Drosophila melanogaster: one gene and its partners. The protein of the gene in region 2 interacts with the protein of the main gene of each other region in a pairwise test. Each region holds a gene or a part of one and is shown on either strand. Other genes may lie near its edges. The genes, in order: CG32486, Ubc4 and sordd1.

What was found.
Region 1: the proteins of Ubc4 (region 2) and CG32486 interact in a two-hybrid assay, tested with the Drosophila melanogaster proteins (2 studies listed by BioGRID).
Region 3: the proteins of Ubc4 (region 2) and sordd1 interact in a two-hybrid assay, tested with the Drosophila melanogaster proteins (2 studies listed by BioGRID).

Annotation. Positions count from the first base shown.
Region 1 is NT_037436.4:3,064,622-3,075,587, forward strand, and holds the start of CG32486 (uncharacterized protein), read right to left. Parts: upstream 6,219-10,966; 5' UTR 5,919-6,218; coding exon 5,541-5,918; intron 1-5,540.
Region 2 is NT_037436.4:9,692,847-9,703,571, forward strand, and holds Ubc4 (ubiquitin conjugating enzyme 4), read left to right. Parts: upstream 1-5,489; 5' UTR 5,490-5,846; coding exon 5,847-5,909; intron 5,910-6,119; coding exon 6,120-6,272; intron 6,273-6,499; coding exon 6,500-6,883; 3' UTR 6,884-7,635; downstream 7,636-10,725. Other genes in the region: Prps (phosphoribosyl pyrophosphate synthetase), read right to left, coding at 1,387-1,612, 2,350-2,386; CG6761 (uncharacterized protein), read right to left, coding at 7,855-8,206, 8,268-8,493, 8,547-8,784, 8,845-9,784, 9,836-10,725. UniProt on the Drosophila melanogaster protein: Catalyzes the covalent attachment of ubiquitin to other proteins.
Region 3 is NC_004354.4:15,791,089-15,802,167, forward strand, and holds sordd1 (suppression of retinal degeneration disease 1 upon overexpression 1), read right to left. Parts: upstream 4,941-11,079; 5' UTR 4,914-4,940; exon of another isoform or gene 4,722-4,913; intron 4,488-4,721; exon of another isoform or gene 4,399-4,487; intron 4,329-4,398; exon of another isoform or gene 4,073-4,328; intron 4,014-4,072; 5' UTR 3,975-4,013; coding exon 3,409-3,974; intron 3,346-3,408; coding exon 3,179-3,345; intron 3,114-3,178; coding exon 3,013-3,113; 3' UTR 2,633-3,012; downstream 1-2,632. Other genes in the region: Rhp (rhophilin), read left to right, coding at 1-18, 155-308, 374-814, 900-1,056, 1,122-1,369, 1,430-1,559, 1,624-1,949, 2,004-2,156 and 1 more; sordd2 (suppression of retinal degeneration disease 1 upon overexpression 2), read right to left, coding at 6,165-6,283, 6,349-6,515, 6,579-7,144; CG15602 (uncharacterized protein), read left to right, coding at 8,586-8,633, 8,705-8,949, 9,008-9,485, 9,551-9,808; PGRP-LE (peptidoglycan recognition protein LE), read right to left, coding at 10,163-10,522, 10,595-10,659, 10,875-10,988, 11,052-11,079.

The DNA of each region.
Region 1 (10,966 bases), 6.6 Mb from region 2:
ATAGGAATGGACTTATTATCTTACCTAAAAACAGAAATAGATTTACTTAACCTAAATCTAAAAACCCCAAGTACCATTATACCCTTATGGACCCACAGTAACTCAACTTCAAACGTATTTAATATCTCTGGACATACGAAAACTATTTTGCCACTACCAGTGGAAACCAAACAGGGCGACTTCTACATCGATTCAATTACAATCAATGATGACTTAATAATATCAGACGGGATTTATAATGCCCAAAACAATATTGCTAATTTCGTTATCACAAACTATAGCGAGAGGGATCAGTTATTGTACCTCGAGAGCCCGATAAAAGGCATGCCATACTCCACGGCCAACAATGTTGAACTTTTCAGTATCACTTCAGACACCCCACAGCCCCAAAACTCCGCAGCGTCGTTACAAGCCCTTGGCGTCGATCACCTCTCCTCTGAAGAGAAACAAAGCCTACTTTCACTTTGCAAAAGTTATCTAGATATCTTCTACAATGAAGACAAATCATTGACCTTCACCAACAAGATTACACACACGATTAAAACCACGGACGACACCCCCATTCATACAAAATCTTATAGATATCCTTACATTCATAAAGAGGAGGTCAAAAAACAAATAGAGGCAATGTTAAATCAGGACATTATCAAATCCAGTTATTCCCCGTGGAGCGCCCCCGTCTGGGTCGTCCCAAAGAAAATCACTCCTACGGGAGAGCAAAAATGGCGTCTAGTTATCGATTATAGAAAACTCAACGAGAAGACTATATCCGATAGATATCCAATACCTAACATCGCGGATATCTTAGACAGATTGGGCAAAGCCAAATATTTCTCCACACTTGATCTGGCAAGTGGATTCCATCAGATAGAAATGAATCCCGACGACACACCCAAAACTGCATTTACAGTAGAGGGGGGCCACTACGAGTTCATTAGAATGCCGTTTGGCCTCAAAAATGCCCCAGCCACATTCCAAAGGGTGATGGACAATATTTTTGGAGACCTTATCGGAACTATCTGCCTAGTTTACCTAGATGATATAATAATTTTCTCAACCTCCTTACAAGAACACTTCATACACTTGAAAACTATTTTTGGAAGACTCAGATCTGCCAACTTTAAAGTCCAACTCACAAAATCCTACTTCCTCAGGCGGGAGACAGAATTCCTTGGCCACATCGTTTCACAAGAAGGTGTTAGGCCAAATCCCAATAAGATCGAAGCTATAAAAAACTTTCCATGTCCCCACAGTAAAAAGTCAATTAAGTCTTTCCTAGGCTTGTTGGGATATTACAGAAAATTTATCAGAGATTTTGCGAGACTTACCCAACCCATGACACAAAAATTAAGGGGAAACAATAAATCGATCATAATAGATGATGAATTCAAAAAGGCCTTTGAATATTGCAAAACCTTACTGTCTAACGACCCAATCCTCCAATACCCGGACTTTACAAAACCTTTCACACTAACCACGGACGCAAGTAATTTCGCAATAGGAGCTGTCCTATCCCAAGGTCCGGTGCATAGTGATAGGCCCGTATGTTTTGCTAGTAGAACCTTGTCGGCTGCGGAAACAAATTATTCCACAATTGAGAAGGAAATGCTGGCCATTATATGGGCGGTCCAATACTTCAGACCCTACCTCTTTGGCAGGAGATTCACTATAATCACCGATCACAAACCACTAACTTGGTTAATGAATTTCAAACAACCAAATTCTAAAATAGTTAGGTGGAGACTCCAGCTTCAGGAGTACGATTTCGAAGTCGTCTACAAGAAAGGCTCTCAAAATGTAATTGCTGATGCTCTCAGTAGACCAGAGGCCTCTGTCAACCATAACGAAGCCCTATCAATTCCTCAAAATGTTTGCCCCATCTCAGAGAAACCCCTTAATGATTTTAATATTCAGCTCCTGTTCAAAATAACCCCAGATACAAATAACGCCACACTGACCCCGTTTAAACACAAACTTAGGAGGGAATTCTGTAAACCCAATTTTCAGTATGACGACGTAGTTTGCATTCTTAGGCAGTCGTTAAAACCAAACAAGACATGCGCGGTATTTGCCCCCGACCACATTTTTCAAATGGTGGAACAAGCCTACCAAACCTACTTCTCAGCCCACAGTCAATTTAAACTCATTAGATGTTTGATCTTCCTCCCCGAAATTACTGATAGTACGGAGATCGAAAAAATTATAACCGACTATCACTATAATAGTAACCATCGAGGGATCGATGAAACATATTTACACATAAAACGACAACAGTTCTTCCCACATATGAAGGAGAGAATAACTCAGTTAATTCGAAAATGTGAAACATGTTTAAAATTAAAATACGACAGACAACCTCAAAAGATCACTTACCAAATATCCGAACTACCTTCAAAACCGTTGGACATCTTACATATAGACATTTATACTATTAACAAAAATTATAACCTTACTATTATCGATAAATTTTCTAAATTTGCGGCTGCCTACCCTATAACTAATAGGAATTGCATTAACGTAGTTAAAGCCTTAAAACATTTCATTTCCCAATTTGGTATTCCCAAAAAGCTGATCTATGATCAGGGAGCAGAATTCGCTAGCGATATGTTCAATAAGTTCTGCACTCAATTTAACATTGACCTACACGTTACGTCCTTTCAACAATCCTCTAGTAACTCTCCCGTTGAACGGCTTCACTCGACACTAACTGAGATTTACAGAATAATACTTGACGTCAGGAAACAACAGAAACTCAGTAGCGAGCATGACGAGATAATGTCCGAAACCCTAATCACATATAATAACGCTATTCATTCTGCAACTAAACATACCCCCTTTGAACTATTTAACGGACGTACTCATATATTCAACCAAACAATCCAGTTCAATAACGAACACGACTACTTAACGAAATTAAATGAATTTCGCGAGAAGTTGTACCCCCTCATCACGGACAAACTTTCAAATGACGTAGTTAGGAGAACCCTAAAATTAAATGAAACCCGAACAGACCCCGTAGACCTACAACCAGACACTTTAGTCCTTAGGAAGGAAAACAGACGTAATAAGATTACACCCAGGTTTTCGATTCACAAAGTCAAACACGACAAAGGTCATACATTGATAACTGCTAGGAATCAAAAACTACACAAATCAAAAATTCGAAAAACAGTTTTGAAAAAAGACAAAAGCAACAACGTACCCAACACTGATAATAACTGACCCCACTACCTCTTAACTTACCATTTCAGGTTCACCCTTGTGCCAACTCAGGCTATCCATGTCCATTATTTAAATGATAACGCCCCTATAGCCAAGATAGAACTAGGGAAAGCCTTACTAATTGAGAGGTACAAAATAATTAGTCATGTAATCAACCTACAAGACTACAGCAGATGTATGGAACAATTCCATCTGACCATTAATAAATTTAACCCCGATTCCACGTTGACGGACTCCGTCACAATTTTAAAAACCAAATTAACCCAAGCCCAAGTAAAGCTCAAAGCCCTTACACCTTCATATAGAAACAAACGGGGTTTGATTAACGGATTGGGGAGTCTAGTAAAGGTGGTTACCGGCAACATGGATGCCAACGACAATAAAGAAATACATGAAGAACTTGACAATATAAAGAAAAATTCCGAAGTCAGTAACGACAATCTCCAAAAACAAGTAATGTTTAACAACGAAATACTTATCCGGTTCGAAAATATCACGGACCATATAAATAATGAACAAATTTTGATAAGTAAATTCTTTGATACCTCACAAAACAAAATATACAAACACTTAAACTTACAAGATACCCTTCTGGAAGAAATACAATATTTAAATAGGATTAATTATAACATAGAATTATTCATTAACCACCTAAACGACATAACAGAAAGTATGCTATTGGCGAAAATAAATATAATTCCCAAGTTCATCCTAAATGAACAAGAAATGGATAAAATAAAAACAATACTGGAAAAACAAAATATCACAGTCAAAAATGAACAAAGTATATACAATTTCCTACAAATGAATACACTAAATTACGAACAAAAGATTATTTTTAATATCAAAGTCCCAATTTTTAAACAACCTTTTCATACCCTCGCCAGACTAGTTCCATTACCAATAAATAACACATATTTTGTAATAACCCCAAATTACCTAGCTTATAATATTAATAATAAGAAATTTCATATGACCCGTAAATGCCCCAAACTGGATAATACATTCTTGTGCGACGAGAACTTCTACGTTGATACACCACAGAACAACACATGCCTGGAACACCTTTTGAACGGAGAAAACAGTTCCTGCGATGTACGGGAAACCGGCCCCATCACCGACGTGTTCGAGGCAGAGAGAGGTTACATCTTCGCATTCAACGTGAACAAACTGAAGGTATCCCTAACAAACGGCTCCGAGCTCTCAATAATGGGGTCAGCCATCATCAGATACATTAACGAAACAATACAGATTAACGGTATCGATTACGACGGCACGGTTGACACGTTCCCTGAACAGACGGATTTTGATCTTCCCCCCATGCGAAAAGTAACTAGGAATACCACTATTACGGTACTAAGCCTAGAAAAACTGCACCTCGAAGCCACCCAAACAATGGATAAAATCCTGGCCGTCCATCACAATACTATACAGCACACCTGGACACTCTACACTCTGCTCGGATTGGTAACGTTCCTAGCAGTCATCTTATGGCTGCACCGACGAACGAAACACATCGTCCACATCCACGAGGATCATCACGTACCAATCTACGCGTCATCCATACCTTCGCTATGGCCGTCACTTCGAACTGGGGGGGGAGGAGTTACCACCCCACCCCCTAAACCCCCACGCCTCTAAACAAATCATCGGACACTCAACCGGGAAGACGGCAACTGGAACACCGCATCCGGCCGAATGCTGACATTCCGGCCGAATGCTGACATTACACAAAAGTCGCACTGCAACATTGTCCCCAGCTAGCCAGCCACATGCCGAGTCGGCATGTTCATTATGCTTACAATTAAGAACCTATGTACTTATGTATAAGACGAAAACGGAGGACTCGAGTAGCCACTCTCTGACAATAAACTTCATACTGATTTTGAACTTCAAGAAAGTCAGTCGTATTCTTTATTGGAAATCTTCACACTACAACTATCTGCTGAAACTTAAAAACCTTCATACATTTACACATCATATCTTCACAAAAGGCTCCACCCTCGATCACGGACTTAACTCCCGCCCTCGCTCCCCCTCGCACTCTTTCAATGTTTTCAAGGCGAATAATGCAAGAGCGCCCCAGCTAGACGTCTCGCTCTCGCACAGCTGTGTCTTGCTAGGGTGGAGAGAGGGAGAGAGGTGTTTTACTCTTACAGCTGAGCTGCCACGATTTGTTTGTATACAGAATGAGGCGCACACACACACGCGCACTTGCTGTTTTTCTTCTTTCGCTTTTAAAGCTCTTACTTCCTTTTTTTGATTCTAGTTTACAAGGGCTTATAGTTCAAGCCGCTGTAAATAATCCAAAAACTCACCTGGTACATGGCCGTCTTGGGCAAATCCAGGCAGACGGCACAGCACAGGGCATTGGAGATGCGGTGGGCCAGCTTTTCGTGCATTCCCGAGGCGGCTGCGGCACTGGAAAGCAAGCTGCTGCCGCTGCTGCTGGTGGCACCACCGCCCCCTCCGTCCAACAACTGTTTCTTGGCCGGCGGTTCTCCGCTGCCCTGCGTGTCCAGCGGCACGCCCACCACATTGCCGCCGCCCACCGACGAGGAGGACGACGATGTGGAAGAGGAAGAGGCCGAGGAGGCGGAGCTGGTCGTGGCCACCGCCTGGTTGTCGCCCAGGAGCGGTAGGTTCGAGGACGACGGCGGCTGTTGGACCGCCGAACTGGAGGATTCCACCGACATGATTGGAAATTTTCTTGGAATAATGTTTGTTGTGTTTTTCTTTGCCACTCGCTTCGTACACAAACTCCCACACACACGACCACTAAACTACTACACACACACAAGCAATACCCAGTTTGCTCTCTCTCTCTTTCGCTCGCACACTAAGTATGGCACTTTCTTTCAATTGCCACCTTTCCCCGCTGTCCGTGTCGTGTCGTTCTCTTCTGTGTTCTTCCGTTCTGTTCTGTTTGCAAGCTTTTTGTCCGCCGACACGTCCGCTCGCCAAAAAATTTGTTGTCTTTCTAGAGAGTGTTGTGCGGTGTGACCAAATCTTATATTAGGCAAAATACTAGTATAACGTATCGATGTTATTGGCAAAGCCTATCGATGTTTTTCTATTGTCTGTGTTTCTCCAGCCCTGGTTGATCGTTAGCAGGGACACCATCCCCTTTACAAAGTAATAAAATAACAAATATTATTAAATTAACCATTTCAAAATAAAATAGCATTAAAATAATATAGCAAAATCTGCCTTCATATATATAATTTTACAAGTATATTATTGAAAACGAATCCATTCGTGTTTAATGTGCTGCCCTTATATCCGGCAGTACGGAACTCGTCACTCGCGAGATGCGGTCACACTGCTTGCGGCAAACGGAAAACATGTAAGAAATTAAATATTGTGATTTTGTCTTTAAAATGTACAAAAGTTTGACAAAACACAAACGGCAGGTTCTTTATGAAGTCACCTCTCGCAAAGTGAACTATGACTGGTCAGTGGAGGTACGGAAAACGTGGATTAAAGAGCGAAAAATCGCAGTTTTCTCAGCAGACATTTTTGTATCACTTCGCTGTGCGCTGTGTGTTTGGCATTTTTTGTGTTTGTGTGTGTGTGTGCAACAGCGGCATCAATTTGAAAAATAACAAAAACAAATCGTTGGCGTGTTGAACAAAAAACTATACGTATTTGCTATCTGGCTTGCGTTATAAGAACCATTTGGACAAATTGCGTCTTAAAAATTTGGTGACCAAGATGGCTTCAATTTCATTTTCGGTGGTGAATTAAAAACTTTAATGAAAATAAAAACTTAATGAATTGACTTTTAATTCACGTGCAATTATTATGAAAATTTTTGAAAATTAAAATAAAAATATTTCCAAAAACGTTGTAACAAAACTACACTTATAAATTGGCTTTTGGCTTGCTTAGTGAACTTAGTTAATTATTTCCAGCTGTTCCCACTCAAAAAACAAATCGTATACATATGTGTTCTTATTTCCTTTGCTCCTGCTTTTTCTCTTCCCCTTCTTTTCGTTCCCTTCCCCTTTGCGTCCTCTTCCCCTTTTCCTAGCCAGCTGTTTGTCGCGTTCCACAAATATGGCTGGAGTGTGGATCGCGTTTGGAGCCCAGGCTCCCACATTTCTCTATGTGGAACGCAACCTGTGGCCAGCTGTTGGGTCCTGTTGAACTCCCCCCAGCCAAAAACTTACATATGTATATGTATTTATTTTGTGTATATATGCATGTGTGTATAACAACGCCAATTGCTAGGGTTTCTGCAAAACGTCCTGGCCACTTGAAGGTGAAGTGTTACAATACCATAAAGGGGTTTCGCCATTTTTAAAAGTTATTTTATTACATTATATTCAATAATGGAACTTCAGTAGCGTGTCAAAGGATTTCTCTTTGAAAGAATACGTATTTCATATCCAGCATTTATCAGCTGAAAAACATGAGGGACTTTATACAATCTGTTAAATTTCTTTGCATAAAATGATATATATGTTAATTAAAATTATTAACAATAGCTAAAGTCCATGTAACCCCTTGAGCGCGGATGTTTTCCCAACACTCCTCGAATGGAATCCACATCCACTTTGTTGCACACACAGCTGGCAGTTGTTGTTTTTATCCGACCTCCTGTGCACACACACACACAGACGGACGTACATGTATACAACACTCGGGGGTCGTTTGTGGACTCCATTTGGCTTGGCTGTTGGATCTTCTTTGCGTTTTCTTCATTCGTGCAGCGCCAATCGCGCGGTGTGTGTGTTGCGTTTTTCTTATTTGCAAAATCGTTGGAAAATGGTAATGAAAATGTATACAATATAGCAACAGCAGCTCCTTTCAAGGAAATATCCTCATTAAAGTAATTACGGTACTGAAAGCAATTCAAAAGCTAACAATGAAACAGGCAATTAACTACACAATATGTTGGCTTAGGTTCAGTGTGTATGTATTTTGGATGGTGTTAAATATAAAACTCTAAAAATATGAGTAACCAAGTGCGAAATGAAAAAAAGTGTGGAAAACGTAAGCAAATATGCGCGCAATTGTGTCTGTATATGTGTAGGAAAAAGCGTCCTCGTACACCCACACAGACTCACTTTGGAAAATTTAATGAAATCCAAGCTATACCGCCCTCTCACTCCCACTCACTGTTGCGTTTCGGGATTTCATTTTGTCGCCCCGTTTTGCAAAAACAAACAACTGTTTTTCGCTTACCGTTACTTATTTTAATTCAATGTTCTTCTCTTTCTCGCTTTTTACAGTCGACGCGCCTCAATTGTTAATCATTTGCCCGAAAATGCATTTCAACTGCAAGAAACTTACGTGAAAAAGTGAAAGAAAAAAATATTTTCGAAACGTACAATGTGAAAATGTGTTATTTGAAACTTAGCAGTTAAGCGCGGATTGTATGTATTATTTAAATTTTTGTTTCAATATTTTCTACAAAATTATTAAAAAGAACTACAAAAAAATCGAAAACAAAACGAAAAAACCAAGAAAAAGTTTTTAACTCAGTGCACATTAAAACGAAAACAAACGCAAAAACAAAGCGTAACGAAACGAGAAGGACCACGAAAAGAAAGAGAGCGCACGAGGAATTGGCGAAGGCGGGAGCGAAAGAGAAAAATGTCAACGTTCTTGAACAATTTCTTCCCGGCAGGTAAGCAAAAACAAAGCCAGAAAAGCAAAGGAAATCAAACACAAGCAAAGACAGGGAACGTAAGAGCAGAACCACAGCTGGTGGCAGGAGCGTATTGGAGAGGGGTTGGCGGGGTGAAATGACCCCCCCATCAAACAAGTTGTTCATATACATAGTTATTCTATGATTGTAATAATAAAATTGGTATGTTTATGAGCTTAACTCAGTGATTAATCATAGATCAGCTTTCTTATATTGATCGGTTAGTACGTTATTTTATCTGCCCCTTTTTAAATCCTTCGCACGCCTCTGGCTGGGTGGCATTTAATTGAAAGTCACCTTTGGCATATTTCATAAGCGTTCTCACCGGGGTCATCCTGTAATTCAATTCTGCGCCTCTCTTGTTTTTTCTCTCCACTGGCGGCATGTAAATTGAATTTTCCTACCGAAGCGCATATTGTGATTATTGGCAATTACATGGACGTGACCGAGGAACAAAGGAGGCGAAGGAGATAAGTAGGCAGAGAATGCGAGAGTGAGAGAGAGAGGGATAGGGACGGGATGGAGTAGCGGCCTAGAACAGAGAATCTTGGCATAATCAATCTGCCCCAAAACAATCTATACACTTCCCTTTAATTACGTACATTCCTCGCTGCAATACCATCGATTATCGTTTTGTTATTCCTGGAAACGCTCAGATTCCCATTTACTGCTCCTTGCAACCCCTCTGGGATCAGGAACAAGTTCCACACACTCTGCATTCTCCTCATGCATTTTCTTTGTCCTGCGAAAGAGATGGTCATAGAGAGGCCGAGACAGGGAAACTCATACAGGTACGGCAGGAAAAACCACTTCCTCGCTTCCCTGCCCTTTGCCAAAACCAGAGCCAAAACAATGAGACCAGCACAAAGGCTGCTTTCCAACGGGCACTGAAGCTTGGGATACTCTCTTTAGGGTGACTTTGTACAGTGTAACATTAACATATTATCCCATTATACCATAAATATTTGATCGTCGAAAGGATATTGTACAGGATGTCCTAGGACATTCAGGGTGTTTTTCACAATCATTCTTTACCAAGTAGATTCTGTTTCACATTTCTCAATAAAAATAATTTGCACGAATAATAAAAAGCGGTAGCAATACCAATTTGGGATCGAAGGATTAAGCTAGATGGCTTTAAGCCATCTTAGCCAAGTTAAAATCTCCGAATTACAAGAAAGGGTATAACAACAACCAAGCAGTCTAAGTAAATTGGTAATAGGTGGCAGAGGGGGTTGGCTGGGCTGAATGAATGCACTCGCAAACCCGTTTGCAGAGCCCAAAATTCAGACCGATCAAAACAACAGCGAACCAGAATTACAGCGCTATCAACAATGGCAGCTCCTTTCGAGCTTTCGGTTCATCTGGCTTTCTGGCTTTCTGGCCTGCTGAGCTGAGGCCAACGGCAGCTGACGGAAACACATTGACTTTGGTGATACGATGATGCTGATAGGATGGACAATGGTACAATATGATGGCGCTGGTTACTTCTGGATGGTGCTGCGTGGCCTGTAGGTGCACTGGGTTACCTGTTGATGGCCCTGCCACTCACTCCTTCTTCTCCGCTTCCTTTTCCGACGGCGTCCGTTCTGGTCGAGTGCGGTGGAAAACTGGTTTACCAACTCGCTCCTTCCATCTTCGCTTGTCCCTCCTTTGTTTTGGGCCGATTGGGCCGAGCGTAAACAAGAGAGGCTCAGACGAAATTGGAGATCTTCAGCTCGGCAGTCTCTCTGTTTATGTGTTTTAATTTTTTGGCCAAAAGCGGATGGAAACACCTTGCCAGAAACCGGAAAAGTCCACATGAATACAGGAAAAGCATCAAATTACATTTAAACAGGATATCATGATCTTTTTCTTGTGATTTTAAATGTGGCATAAAAATTAAAGCAAAGTGAACTTCCAAAGATGTCCACATTTTGCATTTAAGCCCCCAAAAATCATATTTTATACGTAATACCGGACAGTTATGGGTATTATGAATCGTCTTACTTCATGATTTGTGACCATTATTTAAGCCTTTTCGTGCCGTTAGAACGTTTCGTCTGCCATGAAAAAGTGGCGAGCAACTGGTTCTGTGTGTATGGCCAT
Region 2 (10,725 bases):
CAAATGAAAAACGTGACAGAGTCATGTTGTGGTTCTCTACTCGCAGGCATTTGGTACCCTCCTTTAGTCGGGTATGTCGACTATAAAAGCGAGTAAGCCAAATTGGGTCTCAACTTTCGGTAATGGTAAAGAATTATTAGAAAGTTAAAAACTGGAACCTGGAAAATAATGCATTTTTAGAGATAAGACTATGTCTAACTCTATAACCAAGAAACTTTTTTCACAAAATATTTATTACGATTTATTCGTCGAACGTCGTACTTTCTTCAATTGGTTCTTAGGATCATAAAATATCAAGCTATAAGAAATCAGACTGTAAACAATTGTAAGTTGACACGACTCCTATTACCTTGTACAGCATAACACCTGGAACAGGGCATCCTAGCCTCGACTCTGCTCCGCCTTTAGTTCTTTCCGCTGCCGCGTACCTTGGTGTGCGTGCGAGTGAGTGCGAGCATAACAAAAACACACGCACACCGACGGAGCGCGTATCATGTCAGAAAGCTTAGCGCGTATTATAACCTCTATTTTCGTTTCGGTTTTCTTCCGTTTGCCTCGTTTGTTTCTTTCACCTTTTCACCTCCTCTAATTGTTTGCTTATGGGGCTTTTGTTTAATTTTATTAAAATTGGAAAAAACCGATGGAAAGTTGACACCAAATAAACTGAAAAGGGTGCTTGCTAGTGGGTGGGGTAAAAACTATGGGCGCCTTTATTTGTTATTTATTGTTGTTGTTGCATCAGCAGCTGACTGGCTGGTTTTGCGCCTGTGTGAGTGCGTGCGAGAGAGAGGGAAGCAAAAAGCGTGCAAGCCGCAAGTTTAGACATACACACACACGCACACACAGCTGCTAATTTAATTAAAAATATATAATAAAAATCATTTTCGGTTTCTTTGCATTTCTTGTCTAGGAAGATTTAAAAAAATTTAATTTAAATTTTGTGAAAATTGCACGCGACATTGGCCAAGCTTCACGTGTATGTTGGTGTGTGTGTTACTCTCACTCATACCAGCACAACGCCACTAAACACACACAAACACACAGACGCACGGCTATAGCGACAAAGACGGTGTACAGTCCACTTGTTAAATCAATAAAAATAAAAAGAAATCAAGCCAAAGGCAGGCCACAAAAATTCAGGAAAAATCATTCAGTTTTAGGTAATCACAAATTCCCATAGATTCCCATTGTTGATTGTGGCAGCGAAACGCCAGCAACCTTCAGCGAATGTCAAGGACCTTTTGAGCACATGTGTTTGCAGACCAAACACTTTTTCGTCAAACTCAATTAGCGCACTTTAAAAACACATTTGTCCGTTGTCGTTAAACACTTGTTGGTGGTCACACACGCAATTTGCGAAGGAAATTCTCCTGCAGGACTACTCACCAGGTCTCCAAGTTGCTGAACTTCTTCGTAACCACCTTGCCGAGATCGATTCCCAGGCGATCGACTATCCGCTGGGCCAAATCCGGATGCGAGGTGCCCGAAAACACTTTGATGTTCGGCATTCTGGAGTGGATTAAATTTAGACAACCAGCCTGTTTCTCCAAATTGTCTCGGATCAAACTTCTAGCGCGTATCGGATTAGCAGAGCGAACTGGCATCACACAATCTATGAGTAGAAGTTTTTATTATAAATTTTTTTCGCCAAAACGCGGGCAGCGACGTCGACGTCGTCGCCTTATCGGTGAGAAAGCAAGAGCGTAAAAGAGAGCAACGAAGCTTTTTGCTGCGCACTGCGCTCTCTTTCGCTCGCTCTTTCTGTAAAGCCACCCCAATTATCCCCCATTCCCATCCAGACCATGTGATTTTTCTACGCGTTCTCCAGGGAACTGGAAAGCTATCGATTTCGATTCCGGACTACTAAAGCGGTGCGATAGGTTTTTATAATTTTAAATATTTTCATTAATCAATTCGAATTTCCTAGTGTGTTTCTCAGTATAAATCTAAACAAGTTAATGGGATTGCACTATTACAATATTAGCCTTTCAAAAAGCAAGGATTTACCTATTTCATTGCAAATAATTTTATATTTATAATATTTTGGCTCGGTTTGCTATTAAATTTACATATGAACATGAAAAAGAATAAATATAAATTGCAAATTGACACTGATTATATTCGATAGATAAACAGCTTGTTGTCACACCCGTAAAATCTATGAGTTTTCTTTTAACATATAAAATATGCTGGCATGCCAACAGGCGCGCGCCAAAAAAAAAGCTTTTAAGGCTGAGGTAAACAGCTGTTCCACGGATGTCCCTCAGTTGGCCATGAAAACCTAGCACCACACACACACACGCGGACAGAAATGAAAGGAATGTGAATTCTAGGATATAATCTACGCACCATTCTGCTCGTTCTCCGTGCATTTCTTATCGGGCATTATTCACAAAACAAATCCCGAGATGAAGGTTCTGCGACAGGTAAGCGCCGACTATTTGATTGAACAACCCGTTTAATAACAAGACGCACTCAGCTGTTCTGCGCCAGGTAAGGTGAAAAGTGCACTGTTTCAGCGACAATGGGAGATTGGGATTAGCAGCCGCAGAGCGCCGCATCTGGCGAAATTGAGCGAGCGAATGGAACTGAGCGCCGTACAACATGGCGTATGCTTCTATTACACATACGCACCGGCTGCCCACACACACACACACCCATATTTTACGAGAGAGCGCAAGAGAGCGCCAAGGATGGGATGATGCGCAGTTAAGTTGATGCCACAAGGAAAAGCTTTCGGGACGCACTTTTCCTCTCTTTTTCGGAATCAGCTGTTTTCGATAGGTAATTTCCATAGAATTTTTAATACGTCATGTTGCAATTTTAGATATGTAAAACGTCACACAGAGCGAAAATTTCAATAATAAGTATTAATTTTTTTTATAAAATAATCACAGACCTCATTTCTAAAGTAAGACAAAATTGCGGCTTAGTTTCATTACATCTGCACAACTCAGTAATTTCTTAATAACACACAGATATGCAATAAAATTGTTTCATATATATTTCAATGGGTAATAAATTTCCAAGGCCCCATAAGACTGTCAATATATTTTCCTATTCATAATAACATAAAAAAACCCTAAATATCTGAGACAATAATAAACATTTAATGCTGCGTTTCCCACTTTTAAAACCTATATGCATGCGGCTCTTTTTGTGCACATACTTAGAAATTTATTTTTTGTCTGTGTATCTGTGCTGTATGCCGCTTTCAATTGGTTCTGGATAATTGTTGCTCTGCAAATATCTCTGCTATGTACTTTGTACATACCAGCAGAAATGTTTTGTTTTCTAGATCTCAAATCCGAGGTACAGTTCTTGCTTTTTCATTTCACGGGGGCTCGTCTTTGCTTTTGTTGCCCCCGAGATGTTTTCTTGTTGTTTGTGCAACTGTACCTGGGATGCTGAACAAACGAACGCGGCAGAAAAACACTGCGATTTGTTAAATTGTTATTTTCGTGCCCATGGCTAAATATAAATGAACTAATGCCAAATGCTGACGTACTCTTCTCCGTGTTTTATCCCTAAAAACTGACGCAAATGGCATTGCAAGTACAGGAATAATGGAGCCGTGGATAGCGGGTTGGTGGGGCAAAAACCACGTGCCGAATGCGACGCATGTTTTGAGTCGAGGCGAAAACAAAGGCACGCACACTTCAAAATCGAGTAGTACACCATACTGGACTTACTTGAAACATGTGAGGTAGCAAAGTGTCGCAATTACTTTTAAACTACAAACTATTAATCACTGAACGATGCGGTTTGTACAAGTTGGTCGAAAAAAACTTGTACTTTGTGATTTCACTTGGATGCAGCCGCTGCTCAGAAAATGCAAAAGCTGAATGAATCAGAACGCTTTTGAATTGAATTTAAGCGAGGGAAGTTGAGTTTCTGTTTATGGAGTTGTTTGGTGCGAGAGAGCAAGAGATAACGCAGAGGAGAGTTGATTTAATCAAGCTGAAGCATGGATACCCTTACGTTACAAGACAATAAATGTATCTTTTGGTTATCTGGTTATTTTATGGGGTAGGAAACGCATCCCTCTTCACACAGTCATAATACATATGCTTCGAAAGGGAATATCGGGGAGAGTAAAAGAGAACCGGCATATTTGTTTGTGTCGGTCACTCGTTTTGTTTTGTGGCGAAAGAGCGCCACAAAAGGGGAGCACAAACACGTGTGTCCAAAGAGTTGGAGAAGCAAGAAGCTCTTCCGTTTTAATTAGTCTCCGAATGTCTATTGGGTATATTTCTTATCCGAAAACTGTTGTTGCGTTGGCTCTCAAAACTTCCCCACACGCTTTTGCTGACACGTTTTTTTCTCGATCGCCATTGAGCTGTGCGAAACGTGAATTTGAGCAGTAAAAGAGAATGTCGACTTTAATGATTTTTCAGGTATGAAATATGCCCTCTAATTTTTTTGATCATATTTTTATTTTGTTAACATTCAACTTATTAATAAGAGTTTGCTGAAAATGTAATCCACTTAATTGTTTATCACTTAAAAATTTTTTAGGTAAAGTTCTCTCATATTGATTTAAAATTGCAATGTGAATAAAGTAACACTTCGTGTACCCCTTTTCCAAGTATAACCATTATAAACACAGGATCGTATGGCGCATAATTAATGGCTGTCTATTATTTTTGGACTGTTGCCAAGAGAGACCTACGCCTTAGAAGATTAAACTTCTTGTTTTTGTTTATGGGGCGCAAAACAAGTTTCAAATTTCCGACCGCAGACAAGGCGGGCGAGCGTAATGGAACCATATTACTGAGGTCAAAAGAACTTCGATTATATAATAAGGCCATGTATTCAGTATTCAAGATCAGAGACGCAATGGAAAATAACCTTTGACGTGTGCCAAGGAAAAGCTGCGGCTTTTTTATCCAATGGTACAAAAACCAACTTTGGAATTGATTCAGCCAATCATTGTAACGTAAATAGATTTTATCAACAAAGAGGTAAGAATGAGTACTTCGTGTATGGGGCTTAGCTGAATTTATTAGGAAAGTAGTTTGTAAATATGGTTATTTTTATGTAGATTTTGCTTTTGTTTCTTTTCATTTGTATTATCGAAACGAGTTAGGAAAATGTGTCGGTTAAGATTCCCAGATTCTGATATGTCGCCTTCAGGGAAACAAAGTCATCATGTCATCCAGTGGACATAATTGGAGGACCAATGTTAAGAAGAAGACTCCTCCTTAAAATGTTTAATAGGTTTTAATATGATTAAATAGTTATGAGTTGAGTGAAGTGGGTGTACCTGGGTAGTATTAAGGGCGTATCTAGGCAATATATGGCTCGCAGCAAGTAGCACCAATTCATTACGTCCCTATGTAATAGTTATTTATTCATATGCTAAACATTTGAACATTCGAACTTCGTTAGCAATTTTCGCGCTCTTTCCCCGAAGCCCTATCGATACGTCAATCGATAGGCGAGCTTTCAGAATTATCCGAATGCACCGCGGCGGTCACACTACGGAAAAACAAAAAAGAAATAGCGCTGGCAAAATAGACGTGCTGAGCGCTGTAAAAAGTCAGATTCGTGTTGAAATTGGAATAATAAGTTTTTTATTTTCCGTGCGCTGGTCGAGCTCGTTGCTTCGACAATTCGAAAAGCGATCGAAAGGAGCAACCTTGTAGGCCAACAGCCAGGCGTAATTTACGCAACGCACAACACTCACAAAATCCAAAATTGCACGGGGGGGCAACAATAAAAACAGAGGCAGAACAGAACACAGCAAGAAGAGCGTGGTGAAGAGGAGCGGCGGAGAAAGGAGAACGGTGAACAGGGAACAGGGAGAGAGCAGAAAGGAGAGTCCGAGAAACGGAGGAAACATCATGGCGAACATGGCAGTGTCGCGGATCAAGCGGGAGTTCAAGGAGGTGATGCGCAGCGAGGAGGTGAGTCCCGAGCTCCAAGGCCGAAGGACACTCAAACGGCACCTCGGCAATGCCAGCTGCACCACCGCCCCTGGTCGTGGTGCAGGGGGCGGGGGAGGGTGTCCGCGAACGTTGGTGGCGTTTTTGGCGCGCTTATGGGCTCCGTTTTCTTTGTGAAATGTAAACATTGGCCCCACTGATTTGTTAATTTGGCTTGTAATCCCTGAACAGATCGTCCAGTGTTCCATCAAAATCGAACTGGTCAATGACAGTTGGACGGAGCTGCGCGGCGAGATCGCCGGTCCGCCTGACACGCCCTACGAGGGCGGCAAGTTCGTCCTGGAGATCAAGGTGCCCGAGACATATCCCTTCAATCCACCAAAGGTACGTAATAGCCATGTCAGACTTTGTGCACCTATACAATATGCTAGCTTAGAAATAAACAACTCTTACATGAGTACACCTCATCTTTCAAAAATCGTATCTTATGACTTCACTTCGTAGAAAGTGACACTTCTATGAATCCACAATGTTAACTTGAATTCTGAAAGGCGCAATAAGAACCTGTAACTTGTAATTGAAACCTAAATAAATTGCAAACTTCTTCGCAGGTACGCTTCATAACGCGCATCTGGCATCCGAATATATCGTCGGTTACGGGTGCGATTTGCTTGGACATCTTAAAGGACAACTGGGCTGCAGCGATGACACTGCGCACCGTACTGCTGTCGCTGCAGGCGCTCCTGGCCGCCGCAGAGCCGGACGATCCACAGGACGCAGTGGTGGCCTATCAGTTTAAGGACAAGTACGATCTGTTCCTGCTTACGGCCAAGCACTGGACCAACGCGTATGCGGGCGGACCGCACACCTTTCCCGATTGTGATTCAAAGATCCAACGTCTCAGGGACATGGGCATCGACGAGCATGAGGCGCGCGCCGTGCTCTCCAAGGAGAATTGGAATTTGGAGAAGGCCACCGAGGGCCTGTTCAGTTAGCTTGTCCCAGCCGCACTAGCATCAGTACCATTCGCGGCGGTGGCAGCACCAAGAACACCGGCCAACTTCAGCATCAATCCTTCAGAACGGCAATCACGCTAAATTCTTGTACACTCACGCACCAATATATTTTCGTAAATCTTATCCACGAAATTACATTGCCCTGTAGTTATAATAATTCTCTGATCTGTTCTATAATTTTATTATGATTAATGTGCACATCTTTGCCGCTGGGTGGGTCACCAGAAGGTTGAGCCAAAGGCCATGCCCGCGCCCCATTGAGCATGTGGTGTTATGTAATTGAACCCAGGTTCTGTTTCATTAATTTACGTGCAGTCGCATTTACTTGCAGGCTCTTTCTTAAACAGTACTGTTGTTTTCCATTTCAAGCTTAAACTAAAACACAAACAAAAATGATTTACAAAACAAAATAAATGTGAAGGCGAGGAGTGTATAACAAATCGAAGTCTTTGTAAATTGCGTTAAGTTAATAAATAAATAAATAAAAATATTAATAAATGTCTAATGAGAAGTTATGATTTCGGTTTGTGAAGAAGAGGCTGCAAACTTAAAATAGATTTTTGTAAATCATGCCTAGACTGAAGAATGGAAAATGTAATTTACCCTAGATTGATTGAGATATGTAATGTATATTACTATAATTCTTGTTTAATCCATTTTTTAAGGCTCTGTCTAATGCCAAAATTGAAATAAAATCCAAATTCTTGGTGATTTACAAACCAAATAATTGCACAAAACGTGAAAGTAAAATAGAACCCATCGATATCATCCAGATATAATCATTTATATATATATTCTTCTACATATTCATTTAATTTTTCTACATTTCAATGTGAATATTTATGGTTTGCACTAAATATTTGACTAATAATCTGTCACTAAATATTTGGTCTACGATGCTTGCTGGCGAATCCAATAAGTTAATGACTTCACACATATAATACGAATTTCTACTTGTGCTTTTGCTTGGACATGACGGACACGGAGGAGCCACCAGTTGCAAGTGCGGATCCCAGGCAGCTGCTGTTGCTTTGAGCCACGGATGTGCCAGTGGCATTGGTTCCCTGGATCGTGTGATGGCTGTGACGTTGCTTGAGCATCTCCTTCCATTCGGACTCGAGTCGCACGTAGGAGCCACCAAGCGGTTGGGCATTCTGCACCAGACACTGATCCGTTCCGGTCTTTTTGGTCACATAATTGGCGACCTGTTTCATGATCTTCTCCTCGAAGTCGCGCTGATGATCCTGGTTGCTGCGCGCTGACAACTCGCCGGACCAAAAACGACCCGACACATCGGTGGGACTGGCCAAACAGTTCCAGGTAATTATTATTTCATATACATTCAATATTTCAAAATCCTTACCGCTTTCGTGATTTTTTGCCTCTAGTTTTCCTTGGTGGAGGACGATGCTCCGACTCGCAGCCATCGCTACTCGTACTGTAGTCCTCGTCGTCATCGTGAACGTTACGCATGCGTGGCCGCAGGCATCGAGCATCATCCTCGCTGGTGGACGTCGTCTCCGAATCGGTGCTGGTGTCCATTTGATAGCGAGATCCTCGCATCCGACGGCTCACACGATGGTTGGTCACTATGGAGCAGGGTTGAGTACGGAGCACATTACCTTCAAGCACACATACCCACCTCTCTTGAGCACACTGTCCATGCAGAGTTGGGGCAAAAGTCCCTGGCGACATCTTTGTGGCGTTAGGGAGATACCCTGCCAACTGGGACTGATCTCGCCGGCGGCGGCCAATTCCTGAATCCTCAATGGTGGCTGCTCGCACAAGGCGTAGTTCTCGCCCACCAACTGAGCAATGGCCAGGATGGCACGCTCCCTATCCGTCTCCACCAGGACACTGTGCTCGCGAAATTGGCAGCCCTAAAAAAGTAACGAATATTCAATGCAGTAGTATTAGTTTCTGGAAATATATATACATACATTTGGTCCCGGCAGCGTTTCGTAGCGGAATGCCTGCTGACCGCAGCAGGAGAAGCGGCCGGCGGGTCCAGCATTGCCCACGGGACCGAGGAAGTTGGGTGCCTCCGGATGGAAGCGACACCAGTGCATCTGATAGACCGGAAAATGAGCCTCGCACGAGCAGCAGTACAGGTAATGGCAGTGACCCCATAACTTCCAGTACACCTTGCGCCAAGACTTGAGCTCCTTGAAGAGCTGAACGATGTAGACATTAAGATCCCAGTTCGTGTCCCGCACGTGGTGGCTCATCAATTGGCCCCAGCGATTCAGTCGAATGTTGCTGGGCACACAGCTCACATAGGATTTCATAGTGTTGGTCACGCAATTGAAGCACCTGGAGCAACGGAACAGACCGGACATGCTGTAGAAGTGTCCCCTTAGCGCTTCCGGATCCGGTTCGCAGAGGGACTGAATCAATTTGGTCCACAGACGTGGTGTCACTCGCTCCTTTTTATCCCTGACCATTTCCAGCTCGAGATTCGTGAACATGGCCGCCAGTCGGCTGACCAATGCATCATTCAGACAGGACAGATTCGTGGATGTTCGTACAACTTCGCTGAGATGGGCATGACAAAAGGCCAAACACTCAAGGAGTAGAGGTTCCATCTGCAGAAAGCTGGCCGACACCAGAATGGGCACCACATTGTTGCCATCCAACTGGGGACCGGTGCTCTGAGTGGGAACCGGAAGATCCTGGCTTTGGGCACTGTGCTTGATCCACTTCATCAGCCAATCGAAGATAAGGATGTCGCAGTGCACCGATATGTCCATCTCCTCCAATCTCTGACCGGCAGTCACGTCCGCAAAGTAACCCATTTTGGTCACCAGCAAATGCTGCGGGCAGGTGAAGTCCTTCGAGGTGTTCTTCACCTCGTCGCAGACGTGGATCACCACTTCCGGCCTGTTAAACAATTTGAGTTACATATATATCCTGTAAATACATGGTACTTACTCCTTTCGCTCCTGCCTGGCATGTTTGCTATCCTTGACCAGCAGCAGAGATTTGCGTCTGCCGGCGTTCATTGCACCAGGCTTCGGAATCGGCTCCTTAATCATAGCCCGCACCATGCTGTTGGTGATCTGATCCGAATGTAGAGCATCTCCTCCGGGATGAGCCTGCTGCAGGCAAGGAGCCGAGGGAGTGGCTGCCGGCAGAGGCCCATGTGAGTGGCCTATCTCCATCATGGATTTCGATGCTCCCGAGGTGAGAGGAGCTGCCGCTGGAATGGGATTCGTATAGGGAGTGGTAGTGGCCGATGTCTGGGTGAGAAGCTCTTTCGGAGGCTGCAGCTGCTTGGGCTTAGTTTTGCCATTCTGGAGTTGTGTGGGCATTGGGACCGGGCATATAAAGGACAGAACAGAGTCCAGAACTCCCTCATTAATGGCCGCATCCAGTTGCTCGCCAAGCTTGGGATGCAATCCCCGATAGGTCGACTCTGGACGGGAAGAGCGGCCGTGGTGGCTGTGCCCCGAGCGCAATGTACTGGATTTCGCATCCTGTAGCAAACTAGAGCGACTCTCGTTGGAGCTCCTCGAGGGTCGTCGCAGTCCCAGGAGCTCGTTGACCAGTGGATTGTCCGCCAGTTCGGCAAAGTCGAACTCGTCCTTCTTGGTAGCTCTCTTGGTTGACACCGCACTGCCCTCCATCGGCGGTATCGGCTCCCTATTGTGTGGTTTTCCCATGTCGGCTTTCGTAATCATATCGTTCACATGACAGGATAGTTTTAGAAACTCTAGAAACTCGTTCAAAGTGATTTGAAACTCGGCGCCATTGCCGGAATCAATGGATTTCTGGGAGGGAGCCGCTGGTGTCTCCTCCGGCTGTCCAGCAGCCGAGGCTCC
Region 3 (11,079 bases), on a different chromosome or scaffold from region 2:
AATCTATCAGAGCGAAAGGTGAGCTAATAAGCCCGCTCCTAGGATAAGAAACTGGGTGGGAAGACCCACCACAAGGTCTAACTTTCAAGGAAGCAGGCAGTTACAAGGCATTCCTTTGATGGTATTATAATAATAATCCTCTAATACTCTCTAGTCACAATGGAATTATGCCCATGATACCGCTGGGCCTGAAGGAAACCAAGGAGATCAATTTCATGGAACCCTTCTCCGACTTCATCCTGGAACACTACAGCGAGGAGCCCTCGATGTACATAGATGCCATAGCTGATATGACGGACACGAGACAGGTAATGCCTCGTACATATATAAGAATTTTATGCACATATAATCCAATGCGAAAAATTTCTAATAGGCATCCAAAACACCGTCACGAGATGCCCTGGGAGTGGCCCTACTTTTCCGCTACTACAACACGCTGTATTACGTGGAGCGTCGCTTCTTTCCGCCGGATCGTAACCTGGGCGTGTACTTCGAGTGGTACGACTCGCTCACGGGAGTTCCCTCGTGCCAGCGGACCATCGCGTTCGAGAAAGCCTGCACCCTGTTCAATCTGGGCGGCATATATACACAGATCGGCGCTCGACACGATCGCACGACGGAACGGGGTCTTGACTTGGCCGTGGATAGTTTTTTACGGGCCGCCGGGGTCTTTCGTCACATCTACGATACGTTCACGAATGCACCATCGATGGACCTGAAGCCACAGGTCCTGGACGTGCTCGTTTCCCTGATGCTTTCCCAGGCACGAGAATGCCTCTTTGAGAAGCTTCAGCTGCAGATCGAGGCGATGAGCGTGAGTTTCCGTCAGCATATATAGTATATAGTATATAGTATATAGTATGTAGTTACATAATTTTACCATCTATATAACCATACAGCACGATTGCCAGGCGTTTCGGGATCTGGCTGGCGAGGCTGCTCAAATATCGCACGAGTACAATGAGATGCACAAGAATATCCAGGCGAACGATACGCACACCTATCTTCCGGAATGCTGGGCCGGTCTAGTGCCAGTCAAGGCGGAACTCTACAAAGGTAGAATTGGTTATCACCTCGAAATGGGAATATTCATTCTAAAGTATGATTGTAAACGCCAACAGCATTCGCACATTTCTACAAGGCACGGAGCATAGATGCGACAGACGAGCTGAAGGCATCAAAGTCAAGTCAAAAGAACCAAGAATCCTTCATCGGCAATTCCCAGGAGGTGGAGCGCATCACCACAGCCGATTATGGAGCCAGCGATGAGGCGTCCACCTCCATTGCCAACAAACTGGCCCACTTAAAGGAGGCGCTGGCCAGTATCGAGGAAGCCCAGCGATTGCAGCGGATGTGTCGGTTCTTGAAGGTAAATATACTTCTTATATCCTATAGCCTAATAACCTAACCTTTAACTTTAATCTTTAAGAACAAGGCATCACTGACTGAAGTCATGAAGGAGGTGCACTCCAAATCGCAGGAGGAGCTCGAGAAGTTCAGACTGCAAGCTTCAGCCAAAAATATCGAAGATGGCGATCTTCTAGAGCGATCGGTAGAAGGTACATATATCATACTCAAGATAAGCCGATGTCTTCATGTACATACATGCATCCATATCCTCAGCATCTTCGAAGTTCACGTTATCCCTGACCGGACCCGACTTCACATCGCACAAGGTTAAGGATCCCTTCAAGCGCCTCGGCCCGATTGCAATATTCTCGGCGAGACGCCACTGGACAGCGCCCAGATGTGTGCGTCTCCAGAAAGGTTCCTCCCTGTATCACAGCGTGCCCAGCAATGACAACAAGTGCCCATTGGATAACGATGATGACGAGGAGCACGATGGTGGATACAATCTGTACAAGGAGGAGTTTGAGAACTTTGGCTTCCATGTGCGCGGCGATGCTCCGGTGATCATTGCCCACGTTGAGATTAATTCTTTGGCAGACGTAAGTAAATGCTACTTCCATCGATTCGTCGTATACTGTAGGCATTATTTTCAGCTTGGCGGCATCAAGGAGGGAGACTTCATAGTCGAGATAGCCGGCGTGGACGTGAAGTGGTACTCCCATCAGCAGGTGGTGCAGCTCATACAATCCTGCGGCTCTACACTCGAGCTGAGAGTGATAACGCCCATGGATCGCAACTACTTGAAGGTGCATTTTGTTTATTAATCATACGTAAAAAATCAGCAAACAAATTCACCTTGTTTACGCACAGCCATTGTCGTCGAAGGGCTCATTATCAACGCTATCGGCGGCCAGTTCATCGGGCATTTCATCCGGATTTCCCAGTCCCACAAGTATTGCGGCCAAGCCCAAGCTCCACCTGAAAACATCCTCTAGTTCGCGACCCGCTGGCAGCGTTTCATCCAGTTCGTGGAATCCGTTTCGGCGAACGCCTAGCTTAGCTAAAATATTTTAAGTAGCCATCAGTTTTATTTTGTGTTTTATTTTTTTGCTCTTAAGGCAATGGCCATTTCAAGTTAAAAAGAATGTTGTGCAGTTTAAGTTAAGCAATAAACTTAATGATTTTTTAAAAGCCCCTCTATTATACCCATAATTTATTTTATTCCTATTGATTCAATCGCTCCCAATCACCCATCGATAATAATCTACACGGAAAATGAATTGAAATAAATGTTTTTAATGTTTTATCGAATTTAAAATATATATTTATACAATTTTTGACATCTACATTTGAATTAAATCATTACGATCCAATGATTTCGAAATTTCAGTTTTTTATGCTGGAGTCGTAGGGTATCGCGGACTTTTTGAAATAGTTTGGGATCCAATCCACTTCTGTTTTGCGAATCCTCAAATTACAATTATAACCGAATGCTAACAATTTATGTTAATTAATCACACCAACGACTATTGCCCAACGAGTTTAAGAATATTGTTGATTTAACTGGAGGATACTGCTATATGATTACTTCGCACGCTTTCCATACACATTTGAACATAGGTTCTTCTTATCGGGGTGATGTCTTTATGCGTTCGCAGATTGCTATGCATAGAACAGCCACAATATCCACACAACGGCCAAATACGAAAACAGCTTGGACAGGGTCTGTTCATCCTCGTATTGCCTTGTTCCCCGATTAGCAGCTAAATACATGGGCAAATGTTATTTAATATCAATCTCAGAACTATTGAGATGGCATGTAACCTACCAGGTGGACGTGGTTCGCCAAAGTTGAGCGTAGATGTTATGAACCCGAAAGGAAAAGCTCCAATACCGAAAGACATGTGAAATCCGTCGCCGAATCCGAATCCAGGGAACCCGGGAACAGGATCTGGTTCTGTACGTTGTCCAGCGGGGCGTGGTGGAACTTTGTTACTGCAAAACACATATAAGTTGGGTTATTGAAAAATACTCATGTTGAAAGCGGTTCAAACCTACCGTGGATCTTCCTGGTGTGTACTATTTCTTCCGTACAGCGGTATGACCTTATCCTTATCAACGGCAGCCTTACAAACGGGACAGAGTTTGCGATTGGGACGCGTCAGGAGCCACTGATGCAGGCACGGCCAGCAGAACAGATGGCCGCACATGCTGACCACAGCATCCTTGGCGGTGTCCAGGCATATGTTGCACTCGTAGAGTGAGTCGTCTGCGGTATGTTCCTTCTCCTTGTCCTTTTCGTTGGCTTTTGTGTCCGTATCGGTGCCGCCGAATGGATAGCCACCCTTCAGATCGGCCTTATTGCCACCAGATAGATAGTCTCCAGTAAAGGAATACGAAGTGTTGGACTTCTTCAGTTCCGATGCCGTCGAATTGGTTGGAATCGAGGTACCCAGCGGGCGCAATTGACTTGTAGATGACTCCTCAGCCAAGGGTTCTGTGATATCCCGAGTCCAGGCTATCTTGTCGTAGCTCACGTTGTTGGACAAAGTCGATGAGGACGACGATGCCCCGGTTGATGTGCTGGGAAGCTCCGCTGTGGGTACACTTTTCGGTTCCTCCATGGTTTGCCCAAGATGCGGGTAAAGTTTTAGTCGTTCAAGCTGCAACGTAACGTTGGATGATTTAGAAACCCAAATTTGCTAAGTAAGTCTGTGTTCACCCTATTGACAAGTGCCTAGATTGCTTAGATGATTTTCCTAGGCCATTTCTGGTGTACAACTAAGGTCCGCACTTTCTTGAATATGACTTAATTTAATTAAATACTTCAAGCGCAGTTTGAAGGGGGTTTCCCCCGAGTTCCGCAGCATTCAGCATTTGTCCGACCCCATGGGGTGGTGTTTATGGCTACGAAAACCGCCCAAAGGGCGTATTTACCACCAAGTCTTCAAGGATAATGCACCGAACATTCCCATTGGCTGCACCCACATAAATTAAACAAAAAAGTCAAATTTTGTTTGAATTGCGTTGGCAAACAAGACGGTATACCTGCATATGTACCTGGACTTATGTGCGTACTTATGTACACATCTACACACTCAAACACTCGCGTGTATATAGGGCTAGAAGGTTTCCATCTACCTGTTACATATGTACATTGGAACCGATTATATGCTTATTTATACAGTACGTATAGATGTCAAAGATGTCACATGATGTTTTCATGGAGCACTTCCTATTGGAGTCAAGGGGAATTATATGCTCATATACATCGAGTTCCAGGGATTGCGTTTAAACGCATTATAACTTAATTAAACTATATATAACTTCCTGGGGCACAGCAAATAGTATAACTTCTCGAAATTACATACATTGTAAGTGTATTGTTTGCAAAACCTGACTTGTTTGCCCTCATTTTATTGTTTGTTTTCGCTCACAGTTTGCTTCTACTTGCCGTGCTAAGTATTGTTAAACCGAATCAGAGAATGTTGCTAAATTGATTGTGTGGACAAGTGTGTTATGTTACGGTAAAATTGGGAATTTATCAATTGACGTCTTAGCACCTCAAAACAACTGCACTGACGATACCTGACCGAGGCCGATAGACCTTTACCCTATCGGTAAATAGCTGCCTGTATAACAGCCCGTCTCCACCGGACCAAAGTCCACGCTCGCGTTCGATAACTATCGAGTTAGGTGAAAAATCTCGGATCTCAATGAATCCTTTGAAAAGTGATCAGTGATCAGTCCTCGATTGATTTGTAAACAAAATAAACTACTAAATACATTTACAAGACTAAATACTATTCATAAGCAGCTGTTGTGTGCCATGGACAATCGATAGCAGGACTCACTCGACTATCTCTAGTTCCTAACGATCTGGTCACAACAAAGGTCAAGAATTCAATAATTTTATTGATATTAGACTAAACCAAAACAAGGAACAGCTGATTTGTACAACGCTAATGCATCTATAAACGTTTAAGTCGTAATCGATAGCTCACCCACTGTGCAGAAATCACGTGACCATCCCTAATTAGAACTGGCTTCTTTCAAAACAAAGCAAACGAAATTTAAAACTTTTTCAATTTATATGTTCCATTGGTGACTCTGGTTGCAGTGAGCTTCTTGGCACGGAGCAGAATCCTTTATCGGCAATTCCCAGGAGGTGGAGCGCATCACCACAGCCAATTATGGAGCCAGTGATGAGGCGTCCCCCTCCATTGCCAACAAACTGGCCCACTTAAAGGAGGCGATCTTCTAGAGCGATCGGTAGAAGGTACATATATCATACATCTCATACTCAAGATAAGCCGATATCTTCATGTACATACATGCATCCATATCCTCAGCATCTTCGAAATTCACGTTATCCCTGATCCCTAAAAAGAATGTTGTGCAGTTTAAGTTAAGCAAAAACTTAATGATTTTTTTCACCCATCGATAATAATCTACACGGAAAATAAATTAAAATAAATGTTTTTAATGTTTTATAGAATTTAAAATATAAATTTATACAATTTTTGAAATCTACATTTGAATTAAATCATTACGATCCAATTATTTCGAAATTTCAGTTTTTTATGCTGAAGTCGTAGGGTATTGCAGACTTTTTGAAATAATTTGGGACCCAATCCACTTCTGTTTTGCGAATCCTCAAATTACAATTATAACCGAATGCTAACAATTTATGTTAATTAATCACACCAACGACTATAGCCCAACGAGTTTAACAATATTGTTGATTTAACTGGAGGATACTGCTATTTGATTACTTCGCACGCTTTCCATTGACATTTGAATATAGGTTCTTCTTATCGGGATGATCCGTGCACTATTGGAACGAGCAGCCCATATATCACAAAAACGACAAAATGCCAGAACAGTTTTGACAGGGCCCAGGGTTCATCTTCGTGTAGCCTTCTAATATCAGCTAAATACATGGGCAAATGTTATTTAATGTCAATCTCAGAACTATTGAGATGGCATGTAACCTACCAGGTGGACGTGGTTCGAAAAAGTTGAGCCTAGATGTTATGAACCCGAAAGGAAAAGCTCCAATACCGAAAGACATGTGAAATCCGTCGCCGAATCCGAATCCAGGGAACCCGGGAACAGGATCTGGTTCTGTACGTTGTCCAGCGGGGCGTGGTGGAACTTTGTTACTGCAAAACACATATAAGTTGGGTTATTGAAAAATACTCATGTTGAAAGCGGTTCAAACCTACCGTGGATCTTCCTGGTGTGTACTATTTCTTCCGTACAGCGGTATGACCTTATCCTTATCAACGGCAGCCTTACAAACGGGACAGAGTTTGCGATTGGGACGCGTCAGGAGCCACTGATGCAGGCACGGCCAGCAGAACAGATGGCCGCACATGCTGACCACAGCATCCTTGGCGGTGTCCAGGCATATGTTGCACTCGTAGAGTGAGTCGTCTGCGGTATGTTCCTTCTCCTTGTCCTTTTCGTTGGCTTTTGTGTCCGTATCGGTGCCGCCGAATGGATAGCCACCCTTCAGATCGGCCTTATTGCCACCAGATAGATAGTCTCCAGTAAAGGAATACGAAGTGTTGGACTTCTTCAGTTCCGATGCCGTCGAATTGGTTGGAATCGAGGTACCCAGCGGGCGCAATTGACTTGTAGATGACTCCTCAGCCAAGGGTTCTGTGATATCCCGAGTCCAGGCTATCTTGTCGTAGCTCACGTTGTTGGACAAAGTCGATGAGGACGACGATGCCCCGGTTGATGTGCTGGGAAGCTCCGCTGTGGATACACTTTTCGGTTCCTCCATGGTTTGCCCAAGATGCGGGTAAAGTTTTAGTCGTTCAAGCTGCAACGTAACGTTGGATGATTTAGAAACCCAAATTTGCTAAGTAAGTCTGTGTTCACCCTATTGACAAGTGCCTAGATTGCTTAGATGATTTTCCTAGGCCATTTCTGGTGTACAACTAAGGTCCGCACTTTCTTGAATATGACTTAATTTAATTAAATACTTCAAGCGCAGTTTGAAGGGGGTTTCCCCCGAGTTCCGCAGCATTCAGCATTTGTCCGACCCCATGGGGTGGTGTTTATGGCTACGAAAACCGCCCAAAGGGCGTATTTACCACCAAGTCTTCAAGGATAATGCACCGAACATTCCCATTGGCTGCACCCACATAAATTAAACAAAAAAGTCAAATTTTGTTTGAATTGCGTTGGCAAACAAGACGGTATACCTGCATATGTACCTGGACTTATGTGCGTACTTATGTACACATCTACACACTCAAACACTCGCGTGTATATAGGGCTAGAAGGTTTCCATCTACCTGTTACATATGTACATTGGAACCGATTATATGCTTATTTATACAGTACGTATAGATGTCACATAATGTTTTCATGGAGCACTTCCTATTGGAGTCAAGGGGAATTATATGCTCATATACATCGAGTTCCAGGGATTGCGTTTAAACGCATTATAACTTAATTAAACTATATATAACTTCCTGTGGCACAGCAAATAGTATAACTTCTCAAAATTACTTACATTGTAAGTGTATTGTTTGCAAAACCTGACTTGTTTGCCCTCATTTTATTGTTTGTTTTCGCTCACTGTTTGCTTCTACTTGCCGTGCTAAGTATTGTTAAACCGAATCAGAGAATGTTGCTAAATTGATTGTGTGGACAAGTCAATCAATTGACGTCTTAGCACCTCAAAACAATTGCACTGACGATACCTGACCGAGGCCGATAGACCTTTACCCTATCGGTAAATAGCTGCCTGTATAACAGCCCGTCTCCACCGGACCAAAGTCCACGCTCGCGTTAGATAACTATCGAGTTAGGTGAAAAATCTCGGATCTCAATGAATCATTTGAAAAGTGATCAGTGATCAGTCCTCGATTGATTTGTAAACAAAATAAACTACTAAATACATTTACAAGACTAAATACTATTCATTAACAGCTGTTGTGTGCCATGGACAATCGATACCAGGACTCACTCGACTATCTCTAGTTCCTAACGATCTGGTCACAACAAAGCTCAAGAATTTAATAATATTGATATTAGACTAAACCAAAACAAGGAACAGCTGATTTTTAGAACGCTAATGCGTTTAAGTCGTAATCGATAGCTCACCCACTGTACACTGTACACCATCCCTAATTAGAACTGGCTTCTTTCAAAACAAAGCAAACGAAATTTGAAACTTTTTCAATTTATATGTTCCATTGGTGACTCTGGTTGCAATGAGCTGCTTTGGCTGCGGTCGCAAATATGGCCTATTCTGCAAGGAGGCAAGTGCCATCAAACCAAAGCAAACCAACATATATCACCTACTTACATTGTGTTAAATCCGAAATTTTAGTATGGATGCCCCAACTGCGGCTACTCATTCTGCTCCAAGTGCTTGAAGAGACCAATGCCCGTGCCCCGTCATGCAGGAAAGGTGCACAATGTGTGCCTCATATGCTACGACAAACTATCCAAACTCCAGGCGAGCGCCGATGCCGAGAAAGTTATAGACTGTGATGCTTTGCCGGGGATCTTAGTCACCAAAATGAACCTGGCTCCTCCATCCAAAAGTTCAGATGGCGCCGATGCCCTATTCAAGTAAGTAAAATACCACATTAAAACACCGATTCTGAAACTATAATTCGATTAATTGCAGCGACAGCCTGCCTGTGGAGGAGCTGCCACAGGCATTGGTTCCCAGTTCCAGTTCGTCACCACATTCCAAAGATCACAAGGATCATATTGATGAGAACCTGGACAGTGAGTTGACCAAACGAATGCAGGACTATAAACGAGTTGATGCCACCGATGATGAGATCCGCACCCGTCTGGCCAATCTCACTGGGATGCCGCATACGAAAAGCTACGATAAGAAAGATCTGCTACTGTCCACCGACCAAAGAAACGATCAGGAGAAAATGAGGGACTTGCTCGCACAATTCGTTGACGAAGCCCAACTGGATCAAAATATCAGCAGGCAGAGGGATGACTCAATTTCCGACATTGAGAGACGTCTGCGAGCTCTGCGCGATACACCCGTCGATTCCGATGCATGCCCATCGAGATCCCAGATGGAAAGTATCGCGGACAACGAAGAGGATGACGAGACACTTCTACAGAACATATTGAAAAAGGTTCGCATTTATATAGTAGCATTATTTTTTTTAAGCCAAATCATCACTTTCGTATTCCCATTCAGTATGTAGCAGAATCGCGCTTACCAGAACCTTCCGAGAGTGAAATTAGTCCAATTAACACTGAGTCGCCCGGCAACACCGAAGAATTGCCCTGGTGCAATATTTGTAACGAAGACGCCGACTTCCGATGCCACGGATGTGGTGGGGAACTCTTTTGCACTCTATGCTATAAGGAGTGCCACGATGATGACGAGGAGTACCGTGCTCACGTTAAGGAAAAGTATTCGGCTCCGCCAAAGCTTAAAGAAAATCACTTCTAATTGTTAATTGTTTACTTGACTGTACGCAAATTTTTGTTTAATTATAGATTGTTTTCAGCAAATGCATTACTATTGTCTGTATTTATGTGGTGCTAGCTCGCTCATATTTGTGCAGTATAATTGTTGCTTCTCTTTCAGTTGTGAATTAAAACAGGTAGGCGATGTTGGTTCCGAAACATCTTGTGGTTTTTCCACCTTTCAGCGCTGCAAAAACTATACCAAAATATAAAGTAACTTAACGAAACTGCCAGTAGCTGGAAAATTTATAAACAGGTGATTTAATGTTCAACATTATAAACGTAACTCGGGTGCATTTAAGTCTAAGTATGTGAAATGGTGCTCTTCTTTTGTCCCTCATTGTTCCTCCTCCTCGATATTGTAAAAGTGGGGCCATGTCTGTATCTCCTCGTACAATCGCCGACCAGGACTCTCCGTCGAATTGCACTGGCAGTGACAAATTAATCTATAGTCGGTGGATATGTGACCATCCTCAACGCCGCGGGCCAACAGATTGCGGCACATATTCAAGGCGTCTGCCGTCGGGAGTTCTTTCATGAAGCATCCAATGAAACTGATCCCCAGCGAGATCCTGTTGTAACCCAGAGTGTGGGCGCCCACCGTTTTCCATCCGCGTCCCTCGTAGATGTTGCCATCGCAGCCGACCAGGAAGTTGTACGCAATGTCATTCCATCCCCGCGACTCAATGTGGAAGCACTGAAATATATATACATAATTATTATATAGTTCGGAGCATATATGATTTAATTTCGCTAACGAAATACTTACCTGCATGTCACGGATAAGTCTTACGTTGATCGCCCGCTTTTCTGAACTCTCTGTAGCTGTGTGTACTGCGTGGTAAAACAATATTTGTTAATCAAGGTTTTAAATATATTCGAAAAGAGTTATAATACGATATAATCTTAGGTTAGTGAGTGCTAAGCATGATGGTCAGATCAAATAGTATAAATTGTTTTAATTATTGCGTCATACTTTTACAGACAACTTGATTTATAATCAGTTGGCAAAAAAATGGTTAAAACGTGCAGCAAACTTGAATACTCACAGATAACCACATATTTAACAGGCAGTTGCAAGGGCAGTGGCTCGTCCATGGGCTTCTGTGCTAGCCACGAAGAGCGCGGAATGATGGCGGACAGCTCCTTGGGTATTTTGAATTCTGTAAGTGAAATCGGTATCCTATGGTTAACGTGTATGCATCCCCTGGTGAATGATAGCTTACTCTGGCGCCTGATGAACACATCCGAGCG